2 linked regions of the Anolis sagrei genome follow. The protein of the gene in region 1 binds, or shares a complex with, the protein of each later gene. Links are inferred from orthologs where the notes say so. Each region holds a gene or a part of one and is shown on either strand. Other genes may lie near its edges.

What was found. The genes of interacting proteins can lie anywhere in the genome.
Region 2: PPP4R1 (region 1) and PPP4C share a complex: the UniProt entries of both Homo sapiens proteins name them as parts of the PP4 complex. The link is inferred for Anolis sagrei from reciprocal best matches to the Homo sapiens genes PPP4R1 and PPP4C.

Annotation. Positions count from the first base shown.
Region 1 is NC_090024.1:64,871,019-64,878,621, reverse strand, and holds the start of PPP4R1 (serine/threonine-protein phosphatase 4 regulatory subunit 1), read left to right. Parts: upstream 1-4,599; 5' UTR 4,600-4,827; coding exon 4,828-4,834; intron 4,835-4,935; exon of another isoform or gene 4,936-5,133; intron 5,134-5,272; coding exon 5,273-5,317; intron 5,318-7,603. UniProt on the Homo sapiens protein: Regulatory subunit of serine/threonine-protein phosphatase 4. May play a role in regulation of cell division in renal glomeruli. The PPP4C-PPP4R1 PP4 complex may play a role in dephosphorylation and regulation of HDAC3.
Region 2 is NC_090026.1:17,473,454-17,480,373, forward strand, and holds the start of PPP4C (serine/threonine-protein phosphatase 4 catalytic subunit), read left to right. Parts: upstream 1-3,898; 5' UTR 3,899-4,106; intron 4,107-6,404; 5' UTR 6,405-6,412; coding exon 6,413-6,510; intron 6,511-6,642; coding exon 6,643-6,694; intron 6,695-6,920. UniProt on the Homo sapiens protein: Protein phosphatase that is involved in many processes such as microtubule organization at centrosomes, maturation of spliceosomal snRNPs, apoptosis, DNA repair, tumor necrosis factor (TNF)-alpha signaling, activation of c-Jun N-terminal kinase MAPK8, regulation of histone acetylation, DNA damage checkpoint signaling, NF-kappa-B activation and cell migration.

The DNA of each region.
Region 1 (7,603 bases):
GAAGATTTCACCTCACCTTCTGTCCCTGTGATAATTGGATTTTGAAAAATTTGGCTTGTTGTGGATGAAAGGATTGGTGACAAAGTTTCAGTGAAGACATCTTTTCCCCATGATAACTCTTTCAGGAGTAAATTTCCCTTTAGAGGGATAGATGCCTCTCATTTCCTGTTGTCATTTGTAAGTCAGAGGTTTGTAACTTGAGGACTGCCTATAAGCGGAATGGCAACCCAACAGAATTTGTGGCTCTGAGGTTGGGGAAAAGGTTTGTTTATTTTGTGTCAAAAGTATTGCATAAACAAACAAGTATAAAACTGATAAAATAGAGGAGTGGCTCGCAACCTGCGGGTCCCCAGGTGTTTTGGCTTACAACTCCAACCAATTTACCAGCTGTTAGGATTTCTGGGAGTTGAAAGCCAAAACATCTGAGACCCACAGATTGAGAATCACCAAAACAGAGGGAACACAAGCAGCTAAGTAATTTTAGACCAAAAATAGGCAACAGCAACTGCATTGTCTATAGCTTTAAACCAGCAGTTCCCAATCTGTGGTCTATGGACCATCAGTGAATGAGAATATGGTCCGCGGCTTCACATTACTACGCAGTTGCCTCAGAACCACGCAGCGAGAGTGACTGGTCTCACGAAATCCTCTTATGGTGCCAAGGCAACGGGGATGTCTGGAGGGGAGAGGCTGATTACCCACAAAAGATTACTACGACCACATCAGCTGTAGATTATTAAATATGGTTTTCTGTGAGCGAGCAGATGGCAACTACTGGATGGTATTTGTTTGGTATAAGAAACTAGATACAATGCGGTCTATCCAATGCAATTTTCTGAATCAGCACCCCAAATAACCAAACTGAATCTAAAGTTGACCAAAAACTGATCATAACCCTTTTGGTATTGATGTTGGAAAGTGGTCCCTGGTCTAAGTGGGCCCTGGTGAAAAAAAGGTTGGGAACTACGGTTTTAAACAGTTCTTCCTCTGTGCATGAGGCAGGGCATTGTGGGCAAGCATAGAGATGCTGAGTTGTTTGTTCTGCTCCACAGTAGCACAAGGTGGACGATTCTTCTAGATCAGTGGTTCTCAACCTGTGGGTCGCCAGATGTTTTGGCTTTCAACTCCCAGAAATCCAAACAGCTGGTAAACTGGCTGGGATTTCTGGGAGTTGTAGGCCAAAACATCTGGGGACCCACAAGTTGAAAACCACTGTTCTAATTCATGCCATTTTGCCAGGTTGTCTTCTGATCTCCCAACACCACTTCTGAATCTGTTCAGGGACTTCCAAGTTGCCCCATTCTTGGTTTGTCCCTGGAGGAAGACCCTCATGGGGGCCATCCAGTTGGGATTTCCTGGTTTAGTTGCCCAGAGGGATTCTCCTGCTGTTGCTGCGGGGATGCCAAGAGGAGTGGTGGTTCTCAAGAAACTTTCCTTTGATTTGAGTCTACTGGGAGGAGGCTAATAGCCATGCAAGTGGGTAGCTTTCACAGTATTCAATCTTATTTCTCCCACGGTTGGGGGGGGGGGGATGTAATTGTTGTTTATTCATTCAGTCGCTTCCAACTCTTCATGACCTCATGGACCAGCCCAAGCCAGAGCTCCCTGTTGGCCGTCTCCATCCCCAGCTCCTCCAGAGTCAAGCCAGTCACTTCAAGGATACCATCCATCCATCTTGGGGGTGGGTGGGTGTAATGCGACCTAGCTTATAGAGCAGGCATGGGCAAACTTCGGCTGTTAGGAATTTGTGGGAGTTGAAGTCCAAAACACCTGGAGGGCCGAAGTTTGCCCTTGCCTGATTTAAATTAAATCCCCATTATTCCAACTATGGTGGCGCAGTGGGTTAAACCACTGAGCTGCTGAACTTGCTGACTGAAAGCTTGGTGTTTCAAATCCAGAGAGTGGGTGAGCTCCTGCTGTCAGGCCCAGCATCTGCCAACTTAGCAGTTTGAAAACATGCGAAGGTGAGTACATCAGTAAGTACCGCTTCTGTGGCGCAGGATTGTGGTGCAGCTGGCTGAGTGTCAGCTGCATTAAGATCACTCTGACCAAAAGATCATGAGTTCGAAGCCAGTCCGGGTTGGAGTGGGTTTCCAACCATTGTGTAGCCTGTTGTTGACCTTTGCAACCCGAAAAGTTGCAAAGGTCAACAACAGGCTACACAATGGTTGGAAACCCACTCCAACCCGGACTACAACCAGGCTACACAGTTGCATCTGTCAAGTAGGAAAATTAGGTACCACCTTAAAGTGTGGGGAAGCTAATATTAACTGATTTATGAGGCCATAAAAAGAAGACTCCAGCAAAGCATTCCTGCGGTGAAGCATGCGGGGAATGTGGAAGTGCTTCATCAGCGTCGCAGATGGACGATGAAAGCGACAGCTCCCCTGGCGGCGAGAAAAAGTTAAATAGCCTCTGTGTATGATTGTATGTAAAAAAATTGGCATTGAATGTTTGCCATATATGTGTACACTGTAATCTGCCCTGAGTCCCCTGCGGGGTGAGAAGGGCGGAATATAAAAGCTGTAAATAAATAAATAAGGTAACGGTGCTCCATGCAGTTATGCTGGTCACATGACTTTGGAGGTGTCTACAGACAATGCCGGCTCTTCAGCTTCGAAATGGAGATGAGCACCACTCCAGAGATTTGGACTTGACTAGACTTAATGTCAAAGGGAAACCTTTCCCTTTGCCTATCCTAAGTAAACTTCAGAGGCCCCTCCCCCTTCTGGCACCAACGACTGCTCTGGCCAGAGAGAAGACAGAGGGGAGCAGAAGACACTGCCATCTTGTCTTCTGCCTATATCATCACTTCAGAGGCCCCTCCCCCTTCTGGCACCAATGACTGCTCTGGCCAGAGAGAAGACAGAGGGGAGCAGAAGACACTGCCATCTTGTCTTTACTAATAATATAATATAGTATATTGTATATATATATAATATTTATAATATTATAATGTAATACAATATAATACTAGTAATAATAATTCAATATTATAATTATAATTATATATTTAATTACATGTAATATTACTAATAATATTACAATATAATGGTATAGTGCAATATAGTAATATATACTGATATTGTACTTTGCTAATAATATAATATATTGTATGAAAATATATATTGTAAGCCGCTCTGAGTCCCCTTCGGGGTGAGAAGGGCGGCATATAAGCGCCGTAAATAAATAAATAAATAAACAAACAGAACAAACTGGATGTGACTGTACTACAACGGTCATCAGTTCTAGTCCTGATGAGGAACATGGGAGTTGCAGTTCTGCCCAAGCATAAAAATGACAGGGCAGGGGAAAAGGATTCAACCTCACTACCTCTGAGGATGCTTGCCATAGATGCAGGCGAAACATCAGGAGAGAATGCCTCCAGAACATGGCCATATAGCCCGAAAAAACCTACAACAATCCAGTGATTCGACCTTGAGTTTGACACATAAGTCAAATAGTTGAACAGAGGAAGAAACTAAACAACCGAAGTAGGAAAATCGGTGCCAGGAGGAGACTTCGGGGCCAGGCAAAAGAGAAGTGGTGAAATGAACAGAGCAAAAGCCAGAAGAGGAATGTAAAAATCTGAATTCAGGGCAGGAGCTGGGAAGGAGACCTGGAGGGGTTGCAAGGAGGTTTCAGAGGGGTCTCCAAAGACCATCAGAAAATATATATTTCTGATGGTTTTAGGAACCCCTTTGGCAAAGAAGACTGAAGATATGTCAACCTGTCCTTCTCTTCCTTTTTGGAAACAGATGGTGAATCTTCCCACCAAAAGCACTCCTCTGCTCTGAACAAAAAAATTCCCTCAGGCACTAGCAAGCCACACCAAAAAACTGCCAGGCCATCAAATGCTAATCAAGGTGGTCAGTTGTAACATTCACACCTAGCTCCAGCAGACAAGGGTTCTTTGTCCCACTCTGGTCATTCCACAGATATATAAACCCATTTTCCTAGTTTCAAGAGACCTCACTACCTCTGAGGATGCTTGCCATAGATACAGGCGAAACGTCAGGAGAGAATGCCTCGAGAACATGGCCATATAACCCGAAAAAATCTACAGCAACCCAGTGATTCAATATTGAGTTTGACACATAAGTCAAGTAGTTGAACAGAGGAAGAAACTAAACAGCCAAAGTAGGAAAATCGGTGCCAGGAGGAGACTTGGGGGCCAGGCAAAAGAGCAGTGGTGAAATGAACAGAGCAAAAGCCAGAAGAGGAATGTAAAAATCTGAATTCAGGGAAGGAGCTGGGAAGGAGGCCTGGAGGGGTTGCAAGGAGGTTTCAGAGGGGTCTCCAAAGACCATCAGAAAATATATATTTCTGATGGTTTTAGGAACCCCTTTGGCAAAGAAGGCTGAAGATATGTCAACCTGTCATTCTCTTCCTTTTTGGAAACTTCGGGGCCAGGCAAAAGAGCAGTGGCGAAAAGAACAGAGCAAAAGGAGGCCTGGCGTGGCAAGCGGGGGCAAGGTATTGCTTCTAGTCCTCTGCAGAGCCGGCCTTGAGAGGCCCGCGGAGGCCTGCCTTCCTTTCTTTACTCTCTCTCTCTGTCCCTCCCTCTCTTCCTTCGGGCTGCCGGGGCTCGCCCTGGTTCCCTCCCCGGCAGAGGCGAAGGCGGGGGCAGCAGCAGCGGTGGCGTTGGTGTCCGGCCCAAACCCCTCCCTCCCTGTCTCTCTGCCCGCCTCTCCCTCTCTCTCGGGCGCCTGCCTTCGCGGGAGACTCTCCCGGGGACGCCCGGAAGCACCGCTTGGGCCTAGAAGGCCTCTCTCCGCCTCAGCCTCCCCTCCATGGTCGACCCCAAGCGGGGAGGCCTCAGGAAACATGGCGGGTAGGTTGCGCGCGCCTCCCTCTCCCCTTCCCTCCCTCCTTCCTTCCTCAAAAGAAGCACCAGGAAAAGAGGGAAGTCTACTCTTCACAGGAGACCGGCCTGAGGAAGGGGTGCCTCCTTCCTTCCTTCTCTTCCTGCTTCCCTTCCTTCCTTCTCTCCGCGCCTGCGTCGGGGACACGGTTGCGGGGGGACACACACATACATGTAGTGTACAAAGGAGGGAGGGAAGGAAGGGCTTGTGGGACGCCTTGGCCCACGGTAGGCCTCGCCCTTCGATTCCCCCTCAGCGCGAGGAAAAGGTGAGGCCTTCACGCCCCTCGGAGACAAAGAGGGCGAGGCCGGGAAAGGAAGCCCCTTCCCTCCCTCAGCTGCAGCTTATATTCCTGCCGTATTGTTTTGATGTAACACCCTTCCTCTTTCCCTCTCCCCCAAATCCAGATCTGTCGCTGCTTCAGGAGGACCTGCAGGAGGAGATAGACGGATGTGAGTACCGGCTTCTATCGACCACCTCCCTTTCCTCTCCTTTCCTCATTCCCAAGGCGGGGAGAAATAGAGAGAGACACACAGAGAGAGAGGTCTTGACATTGCCCAGGAGGATGGAGGCCCGGGTTGCATTGTGGGAGGAAGCAGCCATGCTTTTAAGCAGCGCCTTCACTCCAACACAGGCCTGGCTTGGTTTATAAAGTTCTCCCCCGCGCCTCTTTGTATGTTTCTTTCCTTCCCGCACCTCCCATTCGTTTGCTTTTTGATTCCCCTGAAGGCTGCTGAGAGGAAATGGGGAAAGCCATGAGTTTGATGGGTCGGTTGTGCTGTCAGCAAGGGCTGCTGCTAGTCTTAAGGAGGGGGTTTAGGTCAAGTTTTGTGCAAAATGCTTGTGTACAATAGAAGGTAATAGTATGATAGCTGGGTCCGGAAGCTAGGAGCGTGACAGTGTTTCCACTTCACTCCTTCAGAAGCGCTGTTTGCACAACGCGATATTATAGAAGGAATGTAAGAGTTCTTTAATGGTAAAACCCAAACCCTTACCCAAACCCTAAATCTTACCCTAATCCTAACCCTAACACAAACACTAACCTCAAAGCTTACCCTACCTTATCCTAAACCATACCCTAAGCCTAACCCCTAACCCTTACTCTAACACAAACCCTAACCCTTAAAGCTTACCCTACCTTATCCTAAAGCTTACCCTAAGCCTAACCTCTAACCCTTACTCTAACACAAACCCTAAACCTAAAGCTTATCCTAAAGCTTACTCTACCATATCCTAAAGCTTACCCTAAGCCTAACCCCAAATCCTAACCCTAACACAAACCCTAACCCTAAAGCTTACCCTACCTTATCCTAAACCTTACCGTAAGCCTAACCACAAACCCTAACCCTAAAGCTTACACTAAATCTTACCCTACCTTATCCTAAACCTTATCCTAAGCCTAACCCCTAATCCTAACTCTAATGAAAACCCTTACCCTACCTTATCCTAAGCCTAACCCCTAATCCTAACCCTAAAGCTTACCCTACCTTATCCTAAACTTGATCCAAACCCTAAACCTTTCCCTAAACATTTCCCTAAAACTTATCCTAACCCTCCCCTCCTTTCTGTCCTTCTACCCTCACGTGGTCCCTTTCCTTATTCACAACAGTCGTTGCAGAATGTGTGTAATGCTCGGAGCTTCTGGACCCAGCTATCATACTGTCACCTAGTAGAGTCTTGTATATCCAACTAGGAAAAGTATGATAGCCGGGACCAATGCTAGTTTTGTGATGTGGGTCAGAATTAGAGAAGTGAAGACGTTACGTATTTGAATGTGTTTGCATACGATATCCGGATAGCCTTAAGCACTATGCTTGGCTGTTTGTTGCCCCCCCCTTCTGTCCCCCCCTTTTTCTGGCAAACTATCTTGCCATGACTCTGTCGCACCTGCGTCTCTCACTCGCTGCCCTATCTCGGGATTGGGTCACAGCTATCATACTTTTGCCACCTTCGCTCATCCAGCGTTCTGTATTATCCAATGCAATCTGCCTTGCGCCCGGATCCACAGCTGTTTCAATACATTGCAATGTTTTGGTGCTAAATTTGTAAATCCAGTAATTACTACATAACAATACCATGTATTGAACTGCTTTTGCTTTCAATTTTTCCATGTATTGAACTGCTTTTTCTTTCGATTTGTTGTAAAACATGATGTTTTGGTGCTTAATTTGTAAAACCATAAATGATTTTTAAAAGGTTTTTCCTTAATCCCTCCTTATTATGCAACATTTTTGCTTATCCAACATTCTGCCGGCCCGATTATGTTGGATAAGCAAGACTCTACTGTAATAGGGATGGTGTTGTCCTGTGCAGGCGGCCTCTGGGTTACAAACAAGACTGGTAACTTCACTCAGGCACAGGCCTGGCTTGATTTATAAAGTTCTTCCTCTCACTGTTTTGTATGCCCCCCGCCTCTTTTCATTTTCTTTTTATTTCCCTGAGTGGAAATGGGAAAGGCCATGAGTTTGATGGGTCGGTTGTGCTGCCAGTGAGGGCTGCTACTAGTCTTAAGGAGTGAGATTTAGGTCAAGTTTTGTGCAAGATGCTTGTGGCAACAGTCATGTAATAGGGACGGTATTGTCCTGTGCAGGCAGCCTCTGGGTTACAAACAAGACTGGTAACTCGGTTGTTTTTTAAAATGTAGTTTTGGATAGCATAAGGAAAGGTTATTATTATTATTATTATATTTGTTTTTGAAGGCTTTGGCCGGAATCACTGCATTGCTTTGAGTTTTCCGG
Region 2 (6,920 bases), on another chromosome or scaffold:
GTTTCATCCCCAATTACTGTTTCCAGATGAAACCAAATTTTTCAAGACTGGAGTTATACCTAAAAATGGACTGAGAGAGACATCGTTAATTGATGATAATGTGTATTTAATTCTCTGTCAAAGTGATAATGCCTTACAACCCTATTTGGGGGTGTGTGACAGACCTTTTATGGGCCATGCATTCTGTCGCTATTGCTAGGCCCTCAATAAACAGCTTCCACGGTTGGTATTCAATTTGTGGTATGTCTTCCATTACATCATCCTCTTGAGCCCAGGGGACTCCTGACAATGTGCAGAGAGCAGGAGGAATTCCAGAGAGCCATTCCCCCTACAGTACCTGTTTCGAATTCTGGACCAGAGGCACTCCAAGTGGCCAGATACTGGTCAAAGGACACTTAATCAACTACCAAGCTTGCAAATTTTGTTTTGTGCCTGTTTGTTTGTTTGTTTTGTTCTGTTAGAAATGTAATACAATTATGATTGCCCCTGACACAATAAATAAATAAATAAACCTGTTTCGACTTACATACCAATTCAACTTAAGAACTGGAGCCCCTGGTGGCGCAATGAGTTAAACCCTTGTGCTGCCAGCACTGAAGACTGACAGATCGGAGGTCCGAATCTGAGGAGAGTGAGGATGAGTTCCCTCTGTCAGCTTCAGCTCCCTATGCAGGGACATGAGAGAAGCCTCTCACAAGGATGGTAAAACATCAAAACATCCGGGCGTCCCCTGAGCAACGTTCTTGCAGACGGCCAATTCTCTCACACCTGAAACAACTTGCAGTTTCTCAAGTCGCTCCTGACACACACAAAAAAACCCCAAAACTTAAGAACTAACCTATACAACCTATCTTGTTTGTAACTTAGGGGCTGCCTGTATTCCTTGAGTAAGAATGCATCTACACTGTGGCATTCACTCAGCTTGTTAACACTTTAACTGCCAAGGCTCAATGCTATGGAATCCTATTTTAAGAAGAAAAAGAAGAAGACAAAGAAGAAGAAGGAGAAGAAGAACTTTATTTTTCTAACCCGCCTCCATCTCCCTGAAGGGACTCGGGGCGGCTTACATGGGGTCCAAGCCCAAAGCAGAATACAATTAAAAACAAAGCAAAAAACAATTACGAGAGCATAAACAGTGTAAAACAACATAATAATAGCTAGCAACAACAATAACAGCAGACTAATTTTGGAGAGGGGGAGGAAAACCACTACGTGAACTAGTTAAAGCATAAGTGGTTTAGTAAGGTGGATAACGACATAGGAAACATCATGGAAACAGAGTAAATTAACAGGATCAGTTAATATACTATAGGACATCAAATTGAATGACAATTCAAGTCATGATACAGGTCATTTATCATAGGTGTCGTCAATCGAAAGCACGACAAAACATACACATCTTTCATTCCTTACAGAATGTGGCTAGGGAGGGTGCCAGCCTAATCTCCCTGGGGAGGGAGTTCCAGAGATGGGGGGCCAGAGGCCACCACCGAGAATGCCATCGTCCAGTCGTTCCATATTTGCCTGTTTCGCTGCATTCGCGAAAGCTTGCCCAAAGAGCCAAGTTTTGACTTTTTCCCCTGAAATCTCAGGAAGAACATAAGCAGATACTATATTTTTGCCTTAGGGCCCTTCTACACAGCCCTATATCCCAGCATATCAAGGCAGAAAATCCACAATATCTGCTTTGAACCGGGTTATCTGAGTCCACACTGCCATATATTCCAGTTCAAAACAGATGTGGGATTTTCTGCCTTGATCTTCTGGGATATAGGGCTGTGTGGAAGGGTCCTTCGAGATGGTACGATTTGGTCTCCACTTTCCTGCCCTGTAACCTGGCAACTTTAATGTATGTAGCCCAGGCGTGGGCCAGCTTAAGTGGCTGAGGGGAAAAAGGAAAGGGCCTGAGGCTTTTAGGAATGGTGGGAGTTGGAGTCCAAAACACCTGAAGGGCCCAAGTTGGCCCATGCCTATTGTAGGCCTGTGTGAGGAGATTTTGCTTTTCATAATTGCAATTGTTGTGGCCCATAAGAAAAGGAAGGGGCCTGAGGCTTTTAGGAATGGTGGGAGTTGGAGTCCAAAACACCTCGAGGGTCCAAGTTGGCCCATGCCTATTGTAGGCCTGTGTGAGGATTTTTTGCTTTTCATAATTGCAATTGTTGTGGCCCATAAGAAAAGGAAGGGGCCTGAGGCTTTTAGGAATGGTGGGAGTTGGAGTCCAAAACACCCCGAGGACCCAAGTTGGCCCATGCCTACTTATTTATTTATTTATCATGTCATCAGCAACCATACCATTGTATTACATTTCTAACAGAAAAAAACAAACAAACAGATTTAAAAAGCACACATTTTGCAAACTTGGTAGTTGATTAAATGTCCTTTGACCAGTATCTGGCCACTTGGAGTGCCTCTGGTGTTGCTGCAAGAAAGTCCTCCATTGTGCATGTGGAAGGGCTCAGGCTGCACTGAAGCAGGTGGTCTGTGGTTTGCTCTTCTCCGCACTTGAATGTCGTGGATTCAGCTTTGTAGCCCCATTTCTTAAGATTGGCTCTGCATCTCGTGGTTCCAGAGCGCAGTCTGTTCAATGCCTTCCAAGTCGCCCAGTCTTCTGTGTGCCCAGGAGGGAGTCTCTCATCTGGTATCACCCATGGATTGAGGTGCTGGGTTTGAGCCTGCCACTTTTGGACTCTCGCTTGCTGAGGTAGACCTACTGTAGACCTGTGTGAGGAGTTTTTGCTTTTCATAATTGCAATTGTTGTGGCCCATAAGAAAAGGAAGGGGCCTGAGGCTTTTAGGAATGGTGGGAGCTGGAGTCCAAAACACCTCGAGGGTCCAAGTTAGCCCATGCCTATTGTAGGCCTGTGTGAGGAGTTTTTGCTTTTCATAATTGCAATTGTTGTGGCCCATAAGAAAAGGAAGGGGCCTGAGGCTGTAGGGAATGGTGGGAGTTGGAGTCCAAAACACCTCGAGGGCCCAAGTTGTCCCATGCCTATTGTAGGCCTGTGTGAGGAGTATTTGCTTTTCATAATTGCAATTGTTGTGGCCCATAAGAAAAGGAAGGGGCCTGAGGCTTTTAGGAATGGTGGGAGTTGGAGTCCAAAACACCTCGAGGGTCCAAGTTGGCCCATGCCTATATTAGGCCTGTGTGAGGATTTTTTGCTTTTCATAATTGCAATTGTTGTGGCCCATAAGAAAAGGAAGGGGCCTGAGGCTGTAGGGAATGGTGGGAGTTGGAGTCCAAAACACCTCGAGGGCCCAAGTTGTCCCATGCCTATTGTAGGCCTGTGTGAGGAGTATTTGCTTTTCATAATTGCAATTGTTGTGGCCCATAAGAAATGGAAGGGGCCTGAGGCTTTTAGGAATGGTGGGAGTTGGAGTCCAAAACACCTCGAGGGTCCAAGTTGGCCCATGCCTATATTAGGCCTGTGTGAGGAGTTTTTGCTTTTCATAATTGCAATTGTTGTGGACCATAAGAAAAGGAAGGGGCCTGAGGCTTTTAGGAATGGTGGGAGTTGGAGTCCAAAACACCTCGAGGGCCCAAGTTTGACCATACCCGCTATAAAAGGAAAAGGCCTGAGGCTGTTAGGAATTGTGGGAGTTGTAGTCCAAAAGACCTGGAGGAGTGGTGTCAATGACACCTAAAAAAATCCCTCTGGCATTCATATGGGCGCCTATAATCCTGTACATGAAACATCATGGAGGGAAGAGCTGGAATGACAAGGAAGCGTCGAGAAAGAGAGAGAAAAAAAGCTAAACCGGAAGTAGGCCCGGGAGACATTTTGAGCGACACATGGAGAGGCCGCCCTTGCGTCACTTCCGGAGCCTCCTCCGCTCCTTTTAAATCCCCACCCCTGCCTTGAATTAAGAAGAGAACTGAGAAAATGATGTCACTTCCGGGGGAATCAGGGGAAAGTCAGTCGGCCTCCATCCACAGCTGGGCCTCAGTCGAAGGAGGAAGCGGAAGTGACGCCCTGTGTTCTGTAGTTAGTGAGAGCCGGAAAGACAGAGGCAGAGAGAGAGAGAAAGGGAGAGGAGAGGGGGAAGGGCCGGGCCCGGAGCCGGAGGGAGCCGCGGAGCAGCCATCACCGCCTCTGCCGGGACCCCAAGTGAGTGGCGAGGCTCCTTCTGCGCATGCGCCTCGCTTCCCCCTTGGTGTTGAGGGGCGGGGGAGGCGGGTTGCCATAGAGACCGGGGTTCGAAGGAGGAGGGGTCAGGGGCCTTGGGAGGAGGAGGGGAAAGGCCTCCCCTCGGGTACTGTCTCGAAGACCTGGAAGAAGCCCCCCATCTGCCATGCAGGGGCACATCATCAAAGCACCCCCGACAGATGGCCAGCCCGCCTCAGGTTAAAAACCTCCAGAAAAGGACACTCCACCATCTTCCCAGGCAGCATAGAATGCTTAGTTTGTTTTCTTTAGGGCCAACTTGGGCCCTCCAGGTGTTTTGGACTCCAACTCCCGCCATTCCTAACAGCCTCAGGCCCCTTCCTGGGGGAAAAGGAAGGGGCCTGAGGCTGTTAGGAATGGTGGGAGTTGGAGTCCAAAACACCTGGAGGGCCCAAGTTGGCCCATGCTTGGGTTAGACTATTGAGGAGGAGAATTAGGATTGGGTTGGACTGTCTTTCCTCTGTTTCCTTCTTCATTCTGGTAGAAGTCCATCTGTGTGGTTCTCAACCTGTGGGTCCCCGGATGTTTTGGCCTTCAACTCCCAGAAATCCTAATAGCTGGGAATTCTGGGAGTTGTAGGCCAAAACACCTGGAGACCCACAGGTTGAGAACCACTGTGTTATTGGTTGCCAACTCCCAGAAATCCTAACAGCTGGGAATTCTGGGAGTTGTAGGCCAAAACACCTGGGGACCCACAGGTTGAGAACCACTGTGTTATTGGTTCATGGATTCTTGGATGGAATGGGGAATGTGAGAGCCTTCAGATGCTCATGGATTGCAGCTCACATTACTCTTACCTCATAACAACAATGATATACGTTTTACTTATCTCTCTTACTTACCTCTTTTACTTATCTCGTTACTTATCTCTCTTCAAAGCAGGGCACTGTTAAAATTTATAGATAAAGACATAAGACCATGAATACTATAAAAGGCATACGATTAGTCAGGGGTGAAGGGGAGGTCACAGTCTGATAGAATATGGAAGGCCCAATATTCATATAAAAGGATTGATTGATTTGTCGAAGGCTTTCATGGCTGGAATCACTCAGTTCTTGTGGGTTTTTTCGGGCTATATGGCCATGTCCTAGAGGCATTTCTCCTGACGTTTCGCCTGCATCTATGGCAAGCATCCTCAGAGATGACCTCACCAGGCAAAACGTCAGGAGAAATGCCTCTAGAACATGGCCATATAGCCCGAAAAAACCCACAAGAACTGATTGATTGATTGTTTGCCTGTTTTAATATTTCTTCCATTTCTTTACAGCAGGAATGAGCCAGGTTTGGCCCTCCAGGTGTTTTGGACTTCAACTCCCACAATTCCTCACTGCAAGTAGATATATAAACCCAATTTTCCTAGTTCCAGCAGACCTCACTACCTCCGAGGATGCTTGCCATAGATGCAGGCGAAACGCCAGGAGAGAATGCCTCTAGAACAGTGGTTCTCAACCTGTGGGTCCCCAGATGTTTTGGCCTTCACCTCCCAGAAATCCTAACAGCTGGTAAACTGGCTGGGATTTCTGGGAGTTGGAGGCTGAAACACCTGGGGACCCAAAGGTTGAGAACCACTCCTCTAGAACATGGCCATATAGCCTGAAAAAATCTACAACAACCCAGCAAGTAGACTGTTAGGAATTGTGGGAGTTGAAGTCCAAAACATCTGGAGGGCCCAAGTTGGCCCATGCCTGCTTTACAACAATTAGATAATACTGGAAACAGGACCTATGCCTGGGGTTCTTATCATTTAGGGTTTATCCTCCAGGGGATTATTTGGAGATGTCTTTAGTTTTATCTTATGCGCATCATAGATGTACAGTTGAGTCTCGCTTATCCAACCTTTGCTAATCCAATGTTCTGTATTATCCAACACAATCGGCCTCCCACCCGGATCCACAGATGTTTCAATACATTGTGATGTTTTGGTGCTAAATTCATAAATACAGGAATTACTACAAAACTTTACTGTGTATTGAACTGCTTTTTCTGTTGATTTGTTGTAAAGCATGATGTTTTGGTGCTTCATTTGTAAATAATAGGCTTTTCCTTAATCCCTCCTTATTATCCAACATTTTTGCGTATCCAACGTTCTGTCAGCCCGTTTATGTTGGATAAGCAAGACTCTACTGTATGTCCTCGTTTTATTCATTGTCAAGGCCTTTAGTATACTGATATGGAAACTTTTTATAAAATGTGGCCGAGGAATGTTTTTAAAAAGGAATTGCATCCATTCTTCTCCTACAGGGGGAAAGATGGCCGAAATCAGTGACCTTGACCGTCAGATTGAACAACTACGGCGCTGTGAACTCATTAAAGAGAGTGAAGTCAAAGCCCTCTGTGCCAAAGCCAGGTGAGTAGTTGGCGACATTTTTAAAAAACTCTTATTTATTATTTATGGCCTCTCTGGCCTCCAGGACATCTCTGTTCTGGAGCTGGGAAATGTATAATTAGTTAAGTATAATGTATCTTTTCTCCCCAACAGAGAGATTTTGGTGGAAGAAAGCAATGTCCAGAGAGTAGATTCCCCAGTAACAGTAAGTAAAAATGCTCATGGGATGTTCAGTGGTACTTTGGGGCTGGGCTGCTGGTGGAGGCTCCTTCTTTGGAGGCTTTTAAACAGAAGCTGGATGACCATCTGCCGGGGGTGTTTTGAATGTAATTTTCCTGCTTCTTGGCAGGGGGTTGGACTGGATGTCTCATGAGGTCTCTTCCAACTCAATGATTCTATGATAGTATAATCATGCAAACTCTTTAGTTTTT